3 linked regions of the Bombyx mori genome follow. The main gene of each other region encodes a partner of the protein of the gene in region 3 in a complex. Links are inferred from orthologs where the notes say so. Each region holds a gene or a part of one and is shown on either strand. Other genes may lie near its edges.

Region 1 (3,652 bases), on a different chromosome or scaffold from region 3:
GAAATCAAAGAGAGCCTGCCGTTTAGATTGAGAATATTCGAAAAGTTCCCCGACAGTCCGCAGATGACGAAGCTACACAAAGTCCCTGGGGATTTTAATTTACCAAAGGTAAACAGTTTATATATTATCGGACATTATAAAATTTTCTCACCCTATTCCCACGGCATATTTGTTTTGGGTTTGTTTTTGACCAGCTGTCTACTGTTAACCCTGATAGCCCTTCAAAATGTAAATATATAATAGGTATTAGGGAAAGTCGAAATGTTTTCAACAATTTTTAGTATGGTTACTGAAAAGGAATTATGTGGACAGCCACGAAGGAAATTAAGGGGAGCGTAGAACTCTAATGGGCGCTAAATCAGATTGGTAGTAATAGTTCAGTAGACGAGTCCGTGACTTAATCAGTAAAACGCCCGGTGTAATAGTAACTAGTACGTGTTGACAAACGATTGCCAAGGAAATAGCATCCTGTAATGTATTGAATCAGGTATTCGTATCTAGTATGTGGGCTTTATGTACTACTCAATATCGAGTGAATCGTGGCTTGTTCTTTGATACAGAAATATAAATAGCAGAGTCGTCGTGTCGTTTCCAGGTGCGAGAGTCGTTCATGCGGCAGTTCGTGTGCGAGGTGGAGGGCGAGGAGGAGGCGGGGGGCGCGGGGCCGGGGGGCGCGGACCTGTCCCGCCGCACCTTCGAGTACATCAGCGTCGCCAAGATCGCCTTCCCGTACCGCAAGCGCTGCCTCGTCAAGACGCTGGTGGTGGCGCCGCCCTCGCAGCGACCCAGCTCGGCGCTGCGGAGACACGTCGTCACCTCCATTATAGAGTTCGTCGATTTCTTTGATGTTAACTTATTTTCGATTTTTAGCTTTATGCCGTCATCGGTTTATTATATTTTGATTTTCTTTTTTTTTTTGCAGATTTAGTTTTCGTTCCGAGTATTATTTAAAAAAAGGTTTTTAGCTTTTTTGTTTTTTAATTTTTGCTGTATATTTATTTGAAAACAATGCTCCAATCCGACTTTAATTTTAGGGACTCCAATAATCACCGACCGCTACTGGGAGACTCTGCAATGTTAGCGACCGGAGGGAAGTCAGGTCTGAAACCTCAAGGCACTATATCCAGTGCGAAACAACTTCGCGTCGATCAAAAAAAGTAAGCCTCGAAGGTCACATTAATAAATATGTTTGCGTGTTATGATTTTACAAATTTGTTTTATTGTGTATTTGTAGAGTAAAATTGGAAAACTTACTGCGTAGGTTCGGCTCGCGTTCGATAAGACGGTCGGTCCGAAGCGGATCCATCAAGTTGAAGCAGACCTATGAGCATTTGTTAGAGAACGGCGACATCGGCGCCGCGTCGCGCGTCGTGCCCTCGTCGCGAGCGCGCCCGCCATACCTCGACATCCGCTTGCTGCAAGCCAAGAGGCAACAGGCCGAAATGCGACGGTACCTACTTTTTTTTTATTGCTTAGTTGGGTAGACTAGCTCACAGCCCACCTGGTGTTAAGTGGTTCCTGGAGCCCATAGACATATACAAAGTAAATGCGCCACCCACCTTGAGATATAAGTTCTAAGGTCTCAGTATAGTTACAACGGCTGCCCCACCTTTCAAACCGAAACGCATTACCGCTTCACGGCAGAAATAGGCGGGGTGGTGGTACCTACCCGTGCGGCCTCACAAGAGGTCCTACCACCAGTCAAAGTATCTACGACTGCTCAGGAAACAGACATTTCTTAAATTAGATCATTTTTTAAATTAAACAATATATTCCAGAAATCAACGTGAAGAAGACCTCCGCGAAAATCACCCGTTGTTTGATACGCCGCTGCTAATAGTGCCTAGAGAGTCACGATTTCGAAAGATTTGTCGAGCCATTGTCGACGCACGGTATGACGCGAGACTTCGAGATCCAATTACTGGCAATGAAAGGAAAGTGCACTACAAAAGTTTTCAGTAAGTGTCGATAATGACTTTTCGATTAATTTGAGAGACCATATTATACAAAAAAATTCCACAGTAGAAAGTCTGTTTGTCATAATAACTAGAGTACACACAGTTGTCGAAAATCGACCCTAATCATTGAGATCTCAAGATTTATATTTATTTTCTGTTTCATTTTGTTATAGAAAATTGTCTTTGGAGCAATAGGCAAAAACTGTTGACAATCATTTTTTATTGAAACTAAATTGAAATTGAAACCGAGAGAAGAAAAATGTACTGAACCGTTCATTTAAATTAGTGAAATATAAATAATTGATTTCAGGCAAAACTAGAGTATGAAATGAATGAAGTAAGAAATCAAATTGTCAAAAAATAATAACTAAATAGCTTAATATGTCAGGCCTGTTAAAAACCACTACTTTGCATAAGACCATGTCGATTCTAACTCCGCTGGCGTGTGAAAAAAAGGCAATACAAACAAACACATTTCCTATCTATAATACCTTGTTATAATTTCAGTAATTTCCTCGGCTTAGTAACTTACATGGATTGGGTAATGATCATGGTGACGACGTTGTCGTGTTTATCTATGATGTTCGAAACACCCACGTACAGAGTCATGGAAAACTTCGTTTTACAAGTGAGTTTCATTGGGAAACTGGTACGATTAATTAAGTGAAACTTCTTAGCCATCGATTGAATAATTTGGTATTAGCATCAGCAATTTGTTTTTAATTAAACTTCGATTGAGAGTTTACAAATAACTGAAGTTTTTTGTTATGCTTTAAGGCTTTCCTGTAAAATTGCAAAACTGTCGCTTAAACAAATTAGCTTTTCACCCCTCGATATAGTGCAATTACTGTCCTGGTAAATTTGCTGTAACAATTATCTAGAAATAAATACGAATAAACAATAAGTTTTTTCTCCTACCGACGCCGAAAGTTCGGTTTTCGTCCCGCTGTACAGGGAAAAAACTGAAGAAAGTCTAACTTTTTCTCCCTGGGTACTGAGAAGTGCGCATGCGCGTAAATTCTCCGCCATTGTTGTGCTCGGGTAATTTGCAATATTGTGTTTAGTGTAAAAGTGAAATAAACAAAAGGCAGTAAAATTTAATAGTGAAGTATTGTATTAAACAAAGATGAGTTCATCAGACAGTTCTTATTCAATTAGTAGTAGTTTATTTAAAAACAGTTAAATTGTTTTTTTTATGAGTATGGGGGGCTCCGCACCCCCCCCAACACCCCGCCAGGCCTACGCCCCAGGACGCCACCAGGGCTTCGCCCCTTGACCCCGGCTCGGTACACCACGGGTGCTAAGTTTTTTACAATGTCGAACTTTCGGCCTGGTAGGAGAAAAAATAGTATGTGCACCGTGGGAATAAAGTAGGACATCTCAGGAAATGTCGAACTTTTCTCCCTTGGTGCACAATGTACTACTATAGTTCCGAGAAAATAATCTCATAAAAATAAAATATTTTCATTCATTAGGTAAGTAATTCGACTAATAATAATTAATTTATTGAACATTAAATCTTTGCAGATTGCAGAATACGGCTTCGTGATTTTCATGAGCCTCGAATTGGCTTTGAAGATTTTGGCCGATGGATTGTTTTTCACACCCAAGGCTTACCTCAAAGATGCCGCTGCCGTGTTAGATGTCTTTATATACATTGTAAGAAACAATTCGATAAGTCTTCTGCGTATATT
Region 2 (3,652 bases), on a different chromosome or scaffold from region 3:
TATGTACATCTAGGAAATTCTGATACAGAGTGAGGAAAACACAAGCCTTTCATACTCGGGTATCGACAGGATCGGTCCTGTAGATCAAATGGTAAACAGTCGACGTCGCCCTAAACACGTCATTACGGATCTTCCCGATCCATTAACGGTGCTTTTAGGTACCTTAAGCACCGGTCCCATCGTCGCCGAACCCGTCGCTTGCGACAATTAACCCATAGACACAGCCCACTGAGTTTCTAGTCGGGTCTTCTCAGTGGGTCGCGTTTCTGATCTGGTGGTAGATTCTGCGAAGCACTGCTCTTGCTAGAGCCAGTGTTAGCAGCACTCCCGGTTTGAGCCACGTGAGCTCACCTACACGTTAGGGTGAAGCTGAAATAGCCTCTCAAGGCTATCAGCTTAGCTAGGAAAAAAAAACCAAGCGTTTGTTTAGTTACATGTATTAGATTACAATCAAAATGGCACTTAACAGCATGATGGGATAATGATAAAAAAAATATTATATTTTAGCTACTTTTAAATTTTGCTTTAACTATATTTAGAAAACACATCTATATTTAGATTAGCAATCAAACTGCCATTTACCAAGGCTTTCAAGAGTAGCTATAATTCATCGAAATTATTACCTACTTAAATAATGTTTAAAAAATGATGATAATGTTTAAAAAATGACAATGACCGCAGGTAGCATTAAATTTTGAGTTTTAATAATACATAAGGATCATAAAATCTACAACGAATTTGAGTAAAGTTGATGAAAACCTTAGAAATACTAAATAATCATATATTTTAAGGAGTTATTATTTGTGTTTATGAAGTAAGTGATGTTTACAATTATATATAAAATTCTCGTGTGACGGTGTTTGTTGCAAAACTCATCCGAAATGGTTCAACCGATTCTCGTGAAAGCTTGTGTGCATATCGGGTAGATCTGAGAATCGTTCAAAATTTATTTTTCATACCCGTAAATGTTTAGGACGGTTCATTAAAAATTTTTTTTTTCTAGAAACGAATTCTTCTATGTGGCAAAACAACGTTAGCCGAGTCAGCTAGTATTTTATAATAACGTTACGCCGGTAAGAGTAGCACCATCTATCGTCGAATAGTCGAACGAATATCGAAGGATCTAGTAGCATCTAGAACGCTCGAGAAGTACAACGCCATCTATTGTCAGATAGCAGAAACTACTACTAGAGATGTGTGGAATATTCTCCATAATTCTAGGGATGAAGTATCGGTTATAAAAGTGTTGTAGAGATGGCACACAGTCAGTAATCGGAAATACTCGAAGCGAAACAGCGAACAGATCACCTGAAGCGAAGCTGAACAAGCGAATTGAGAGTTTTAAAGTATTTGTTGACTGTTTTAAAGTGTTTGTGAAGTGCTTCAGTGTTCTAAGTGTTGAATACAGTGATAACTGGTAATTCGGTAGAATTTTATTCATCCCGGACGCCAGCGCGTAGGAATAATTAAAAATTCTAAACCTAAAATTGTACCTAGTGAATAATTGTATTCAGACAAATCTAATTGTATCACGTTCAGTTCCCGCGACGTGTGCGAGTGTGTGTCCCGGGTGAGGCTGGTGTCGTGGCTGCTCGCCGGCGCGCTAAGCAACAGTCGGTCGCAGCCACTGCAGGTCACCATACCGTGCGACGCCACCTGCCATCTCACTGACCACATCCAGGTAACCATTACTGGCGGTAGGACCTCTTGTGAGGTACCACCACTCCGCCTATTTCTGCCGTGAAGTAGTAATGTGTTTCGGCTTGAAGGGTGGGGTAGCCGTTGTAACTGTACTGAGACCTTAGAACTTATATCTCAAGGTGGGTGGCGTATTTGCGTTGTACCTAAATGTCTTTGGGCTGCAATAACCACTAAACACCAGGTGGGTTTGAAAAACTGTCCTGGTGAAACTGGAAAGGCCTCCAGGCCACCAGTATCCTTCAATCCTTAAAAAAACCTTCCGGTGCAGACTATTCTGTCCTGGTACGCGGAGTCGTCCCGCGTAGAGCCGCGTGAGTCCCGTGCGGAGTCTCGCGGCGGGCCCCGGTTGAGCGCGCTGTGTCAGGCGCTGTGTCTGTGCCAGCTGTGGACGCTCTATCTGGAGCAGCTGGGAGCTGCCGATGCGCTGCTCGACTTCTGGTGTAAACTTCTGCCGGCATTGTTGCACCTCGCTCATTCCTCGAAGCTGGTCAGTACCACTGATACCCTTCCTAATACTGTTTTTTTTTTCATGTAATAACTACATTTTCTCTTTACTTTTGTTATTGATATCTTCTATCTATTTATATATATATAAATGAATTGCTGTTCGTTAGTCTCGCTAAAACTCGAGAACGGCTGGACCGATTTGGCTAATTTTGATTTTGAATAATTCTTTGTGGAAGTCCAGAGAAAGTTTACAAGGTAAATAAATATGAAATTGCCCGGAATTAAATAAAAATAACAATTTTGTTTTTCCTTTCATGTGTCCCCCGTCGGACGGATTCGTTTTGTTTGTTTTAAGTTTGTATTTTTTATTTATTGGTTGAGGCAATACGAAGTCTGCCGGGTCAACTAGTTTCAAATAAAAATTCAAGAAACCATTTAATGACATAAAACTTCCTAAACAAAGAGACGTAATTGGTTTGTAAAGCAGACGAGAAAATCGAACTATGTACTTCTATACTAATATTATAAAGAGGAAAGATTTGTTTGTTTGTTTGTTTCGAATAGGCTCCGAAACTACTGGACCGATTTGAAAAATTCTTTTTCCATTAGAAGCCGACATTGACCCTGATGAACATAGGCTACTTTTTTAATTTTTTTTTTATTTTTTTTTTTTGGTTTCATGTGTGTTTTAATGTTTCCGAAGCGAAGCGAGGGCGGGTCGCTAGTATTTTATATTTGACTAGAGTTACGAAAAAAAAAGTATGAAATCATACATCATCATATCGCACATACGGTGCGATAACGTCACTTAGGCAAATTATGTGATTTTTCAGGAGAAATGATGGAAAATTCAACATCTTATTATATATAGTTCTTATATATTTCTGCTAGACTAAAGAAATAAAAACGATAACATTTAAACAAAAAATTTAAACTTCAGTAAAATCAGTAAAAGCAAACATCTCACTGATAACTATTAAAAAATATATTTTCTCATACTCAGTTCAGTTTTAACAAAAAATGCATAGTTAATTTATAGCACCGTATGTATAAACTTAATTAAAACTAATTTACCGATTTAACGATTCAATTTCGCTTTTATTATTTTTAGTAGACTTTATGATAAACGTAAATAATTCAGCAGGTCGGAAAAAGTAAAATGGAAAATGATAAACGTGTCATTAAAACGTAAAAGTGATTTTATATTTAAAATTTAAAATAGTCATTTATTATACTTCTTCTCAGTCGTACACTCCTGGCGAGTGGTCGTGGTTACGTATGTCTTAATGTTTGGTTGCGGCTTTTGAGAGACTTCTCCATCTTTCTCTATTTGTGGCGGTACGCGTGCATTCAGTAAGGGAACACTTCGTAGATAACTTAACCAAGTCTGTCCACCTTGTGGATGATCGGCCGCGAGAGCGTCGACCGTTGACCGTCTACTCTTCCTTGAACCACTAAACGTTCCAATGACCTTTCATTACGAATGATATGTCCAAACATATTA
Region 3 (4,120 bases):
GCTACGACCCTGCCTATTTCTGCCGTGAAGCAGTAATGTAAAAACGGAGACCTTAGAACTCATATCTCAAGGTAGATGGCAGCATTTACGTTGAAGACGTCTATGAGCTCCGGTAACCACTTAACATCAGGTGGGCCGTAAGCTCTTCTACCCACCTAAGCAATGAAAAAAAATAGTTTACGGGAAATGAAACTTACCTGGTTAATTTTTAGATAAAAGATAAGTTTAGGTTTCTTCATTAAACCTGTTAGTAATTGTTATCGATTGAATAGAAACGCGTTGTATGCGGTCACTACCATAAAAAGAACAACATTTATCTATTAACGTCGTAACGTGTGCCACCACACCCTTAGTCTATTTACAAATTGGCTGTTAGTGTGAATGCTGATAATTATTACGATTCTGTTAAGTTAATTAAGATTCTTTGTATATACTATTGCAAAATACATACAGATTTGTGAGTAAATTAATTAAACTCTTTTTGACTTCTTCTAAAAGATAACTTCAACATAGAGTAACCAAGCTCAACAGTTTTGCCAAATCATATTCCTTTTTCGGTTTCCATGGTCCAAAAGATTTTATCCAAAAATTATGTAAAAATGTATTTTAATTGGCGGAAATGAGCGGATAAGCTCGTGAGCACAGCGTGAATATCACCCTCCTTGACACATGGGATCGAAATCTGAATTGCATCTAACTATTATCCACACTAACCTTCCAACGAGAACAGACAATTGGCTCGCCGTAGAAATAGAGAAAGCCTTTTAAAAGAGAGAAAAACAGATACAGGAATGGCGAGAGATTTAAAAAGAAAAATAGCTAAGGAATATATTATTACTCTCACACATCAATACTGGTATACTTTCACGTGTTTTTTACTTTCAATGATTTCATTATTAAGAAAGTTGCAGTTTTCAACTCAGTTCAGTAAATTAAAAAAAAAACGTTTTTTTTTTATGAAACCGTTATATCTATAAGGACCTATTGTTATGTGTATAATACACTGCTTTAATGCGTATTTTTCAAGGCTACATAGATCATTTATTTGAGAGAAAATTGTAATAACATTTAAGTACAAAACAAATGTAAGTTGCCATACAAATAAACGACAAGTACCTAAATAATCATTCCAAAACTTCTAGACTTAAAATAATATAGAAGCTGTGTACTCTGTGTCAGACATTTTGTCGTTACCATGGCAATCGGAGGCTGCCTCTTATTCAGAACCAGCGATCAATGTTTAATAAGGTTGCCTCATATATAACGAAACAAAATTATTAAGTTAAGTAAAATTTTCAAAAGATCTCCTTACTTCTTAGCATTCTGTGTAAAATATGCTATTATTGTATATAACAAATGAAAAACATCAAAAATTAAGACGTATTTACATAATACAACGAAAAATACAAAACAAAATCTTAAAACTAGTATCCAAAACGAAGTAAATCAACATTTATTTGTGTTTAAATAAAATTACTAAAAGAATCCACCAATATTTACTTAACATCGACAGCCCTGAATCTCGGCTCGACCTGAATGCGCAAAGGCTCACTCTCCGTCGAGCTTCCCTCCGGAAAAGTGCGCGTTTTCCCTCCGTCATCCGTCATAGCTGTACCTCAATATACTTTTGTTTCCAACCCCAGCCTTTAACGTAAACAGTGCTCTTCAAACAATATGACCACTAATGACAAATACATAGGTACGTTTTACAGATCTTATGTACTTAGTTATAAATACTTATCGAAAAGTGGTTTTGTCAATAATTTAAATTTAAGCTCTGTTTTATTTTGTATTTATTAATAAATTTATATTTTTCTAAATATATTTACTACTTGGAACATTAATTATTAATTTGAACCTGAGATAAAACTTTAACTGCGCAATAGACTTATTCGTATTTGACCTGTAAAAATCAACCCCTAAAATATTAAAAATACGTTTTTTATACAATTACGCAAGTGCCAATTGTATTATTTATAAATATAATTTTATTAGAATGAAATCAAAAGATATGACAGAAGATGAGTGCAACGGTGAGGAGGTGATTCCCATACCAGTTCAAATATTTCTATGGAGACAGACCACACCTTTTGTTCGACCACGTCTTGGAAAATTACATGACTCTTCATGCATGGTAAGCAAATAAATTTAAAAAAACAAATCAGTTTTGATGTTTCAATTTTACAGTTTTTAAATTCAACAAGTAAGTAATAATGATTTCGTTAAATTCAATGAAAAAAATTAAAGAAAACAAAGCATTACAGACAACCTTACTTGATCAACGGCATTTGTAAATACGCAATGTTTTTGTTAATATTGTGAAATAATAATTTTAATGAACGTTTATTAGAACTAAGATTCGTATCCGCTTGTCGAGTGTCAGCAAGCTTGAGTCTGAATCAAAGTGCTACGAGCTAAATTACGTTCACATTTCTTTTTGTACTCGCACCCTGTTGTAATGTGTTAAATATAAATTACTTATTTGTTCGTAAACAGTTCTGTCAACGCGCTCCAGGACATCATGTAAGTTCACGTTATGCATAGATGTTCAATAATGCACGTTAGTTAATTAAATGATGAGATCTATGAGGGCTAGTGTTTTTATTACTATATTTTTTTTTACAAACAACGCTCACGTCTGCTTTTATTTTACCAGTAGCAGTATGTTAGCTCTCCATCTACTTGTAATACGTCACTGTTATTTAAGAAAACTCTGTTTAAGTTTGAGACTTAGGTACAGTATAGTGGTTCTGCGGGCTAGATAATTGTTCTAGGCCGTGTTCTTCCACCGCGTTTCTGCTTTTTTTTTTTATTGCCTTGATGGGTGAACGAGCTCACAGCCCACCTGGTGTTAAGTAGTTACTGGAGCCCATAGACATCTACAACGTAAATGCGCCACTCACCTTGAGATATAAGTTCTAAGGTCTCAGTATAATTACAACGGCTGCCCCACCCTTCAAACCGAAACGCATTACTGCTTCGCGGCAGAAATAGGCAGGGTGGTGGTACCTACCCGTGCGGACTCACAAGAGGTCCTACCACCAGTAACAACGCAAATTATAATTTAGCGGATTTGATTTTTATTACACGATGTTATTCCTTCACCGTGAAAGTCAATCGTGAACATTTGTTGAGTACGTATTTCATTAGAAAAATTGGTACCCGCCTCGGATTCGAACACCGATGTATCGTTCAACACGAATGCACCGGACGTCTTATCCTTTAGGCCATGACGACTTCCAACGACCACAACTTCCACGACTGCTTTCATTTTTGCTATTGGTTTGCTTGACTATGCTATAGGTATTTTCGGAACTTTTATCTTATCCTTAATCTTAATCCATCAGTAGCATAGACAATGGTTGCAATTAACGGTAGCACATTCAATGGCGCATTAACACCTTACTGTGTATATAGGTACGAAGAAATTTCGATGTTTGTGAAACAAACGTTCTTTTGTTTTTTTTTTAAAGTAAAATAATTGGCAGTCGCTCTAGATGTCCCCTAACCTAACAAAGGTGGCGTCAAAAACGTCAAGCTACTTATATTGTCTGAATTGTTTTGTCATACTTAGGTAGACGGCCCATCTAGTGATTAGTGGTTACCGAATCCAATATACGCTATAATGATAACTACCATGAGTCTTGAAATTGAACTGTTGAAGTTTCAATTCAGTTGCAGTAAGCTTAAATTAAATTACTAAAACATACTCATGATTAAACTTACTCTGCTATTCTCGAACATATCGACGCTTGAAAGGCAAACGTGACTAAACGACAATAACTGCTTTATACATAAATGATAGGCAATAACCATATTCAATGCGCAAAAAAAATATATTTCTAGGTCTATTTAAATCATTTCAATCCTACAGCTAGATTCGTTTAAATTTTTTTTTTTCAGGTATTTCAACTTTAAATTAGTCTACTGTAAAGTTCACGCATTGTCGCTTAGTCACGTTTGCCTTTCAAGCGTCGATATTTTCAACGTTACCTCACCTAGTAGATAACTTCACTTTTGGTTCGTTATGTACTTAGTATTTATCATTATGAATCTGCACATGTATAGTTAGCATTTTGTTGCCTAAATAAAAACACAGTTTAACGCATCTGTACTTAGT

What was found. Proteins that work in one complex are often made in the same cells at the same time.
Region 1: the proteins of protein unc-80 homolog (region 3) and sodium leak channel NALCN are in contact, whole or in part, in a cryo-EM structure (PDB 7SX3), measured with the Homo sapiens proteins. The link is inferred for Bombyx mori from reciprocal best matches to the Homo sapiens genes UNC80 and NALCN. Residues at the interface, in NP_115893.1 of Homo sapiens: Lys1979, Asn2004, Glu2005, Cys2006, Asp2007, Leu2128, Arg2129, Leu2130, Pro2131, Pro2134, Arg2135, Ile2138, Asp2139, Phe2142, Phe2145, Ser2146, Glu2179, Asp2184, Glu2185, Met2187, Leu2188, Asn2191, Asn2194, Ile2198, Leu2199, Glu2202, Ser2226, Leu2227, Ser2228, Gln2231; in NP_001337678.1 of Homo sapiens: Asn639, Met643, Val644, Ile646, Lys648, Leu649, Pro650, Phe653, Val655, Pro656, Lys657, Ile658, Arg659, Glu660, Phe662, Met663, Lys664, Gln665, Phe666, Ile667, Arg669, Val711, Ser713, Arg715, Ala716, Arg717, Leu719, Lys722, Glu723, Ala725.
Region 2: the proteins of protein unc-80 homolog (region 3) and protein unc-79 homolog are in contact, whole or in part, in a cryo-EM structure (PDB 7W7G), measured with the Mus musculus proteins. The link is inferred for Bombyx mori from reciprocal best matches to the Homo sapiens genes UNC80 and UNC79. Residues at the interface, in NP_780719.2 of Mus musculus: Gln23, Thr24, Trp27, Ser31, Leu34, Arg35, Pro36, Ala80, Pro83, His84, His87, Ser94, Asn95, Asn180, Ala183, Leu187, Phe190, Leu191, Arg337, Leu340, Gln341, Pro342, His343, Arg1317, Asp1320, Glu1321, Asp1324, His1545, Val1546, Asp1547; in XP_030102533.1 of Mus musculus: Thr120, Tyr123, Ser127, Ala130, Thr131, Leu168, Ser169, Ser172, Met175, Ile176, Gln179, Tyr180, Tyr207, Tyr211, Gly212, Pro213, Ser214, Val390, Cys391, Glu394, Glu402, Phe405, Arg472, Cys541, Asp917, Phe920, Ser965, Glu966, Phe967, Ser968.

The regions. Positions count from the first base shown.
Region 1 is NC_085110.1:9,105,318-9,108,969, reverse strand, and holds part of sodium leak channel NALCN, read left to right. Parts: coding exon 1-108; intron 109-595; coding exon 596-828; intron 829-1,034; coding exon 1,035-1,157; intron 1,158-1,234; coding exon 1,235-1,450; intron 1,451-1,778; coding exon 1,779-1,958; intron 1,959-2,465; coding exon 2,466-2,586; intron 2,587-3,485; coding exon 3,486-3,617; intron 3,618-3,652. UniProt on the Homo sapiens protein: Voltage-gated ion channel responsible for the resting Na(+) permeability that controls neuronal excitability. NALCN channel functions as a multi-protein complex, which consists at least of NALCN, NALF1, UNC79 and UNC80.
Region 2 is NC_085113.1:1,066,765-1,070,416, reverse strand, and holds part of protein unc-79 homolog, read left to right. Parts: intron 1-1,539; coding exon 1,540-1,681; intron 1,682-1,969; coding exon 1,970-2,188; intron 2,189-3,652. UniProt on the Homo sapiens protein: Auxiliary subunit of the NALCN sodium channel complex, a voltage-gated ion channel responsible for the resting Na(+) permeability that controls neuronal excitability.
Region 3 is NC_085112.1:7,810,052-7,814,171, reverse strand, and holds the start of protein unc-80 homolog, read left to right. Parts: upstream 1-1,205; 5' UTR 1,206-1,699; intron 1,700-1,995; 5' UTR 1,996-1,996; coding exon 1,997-2,134; intron 2,135-2,496; coding exon 2,497-2,523; intron 2,524-4,120. UniProt on the Homo sapiens protein: Auxiliary subunit of the NALCN sodium channel complex, a voltage-gated ion channel responsible for the resting Na(+) permeability that controls neuronal excitability.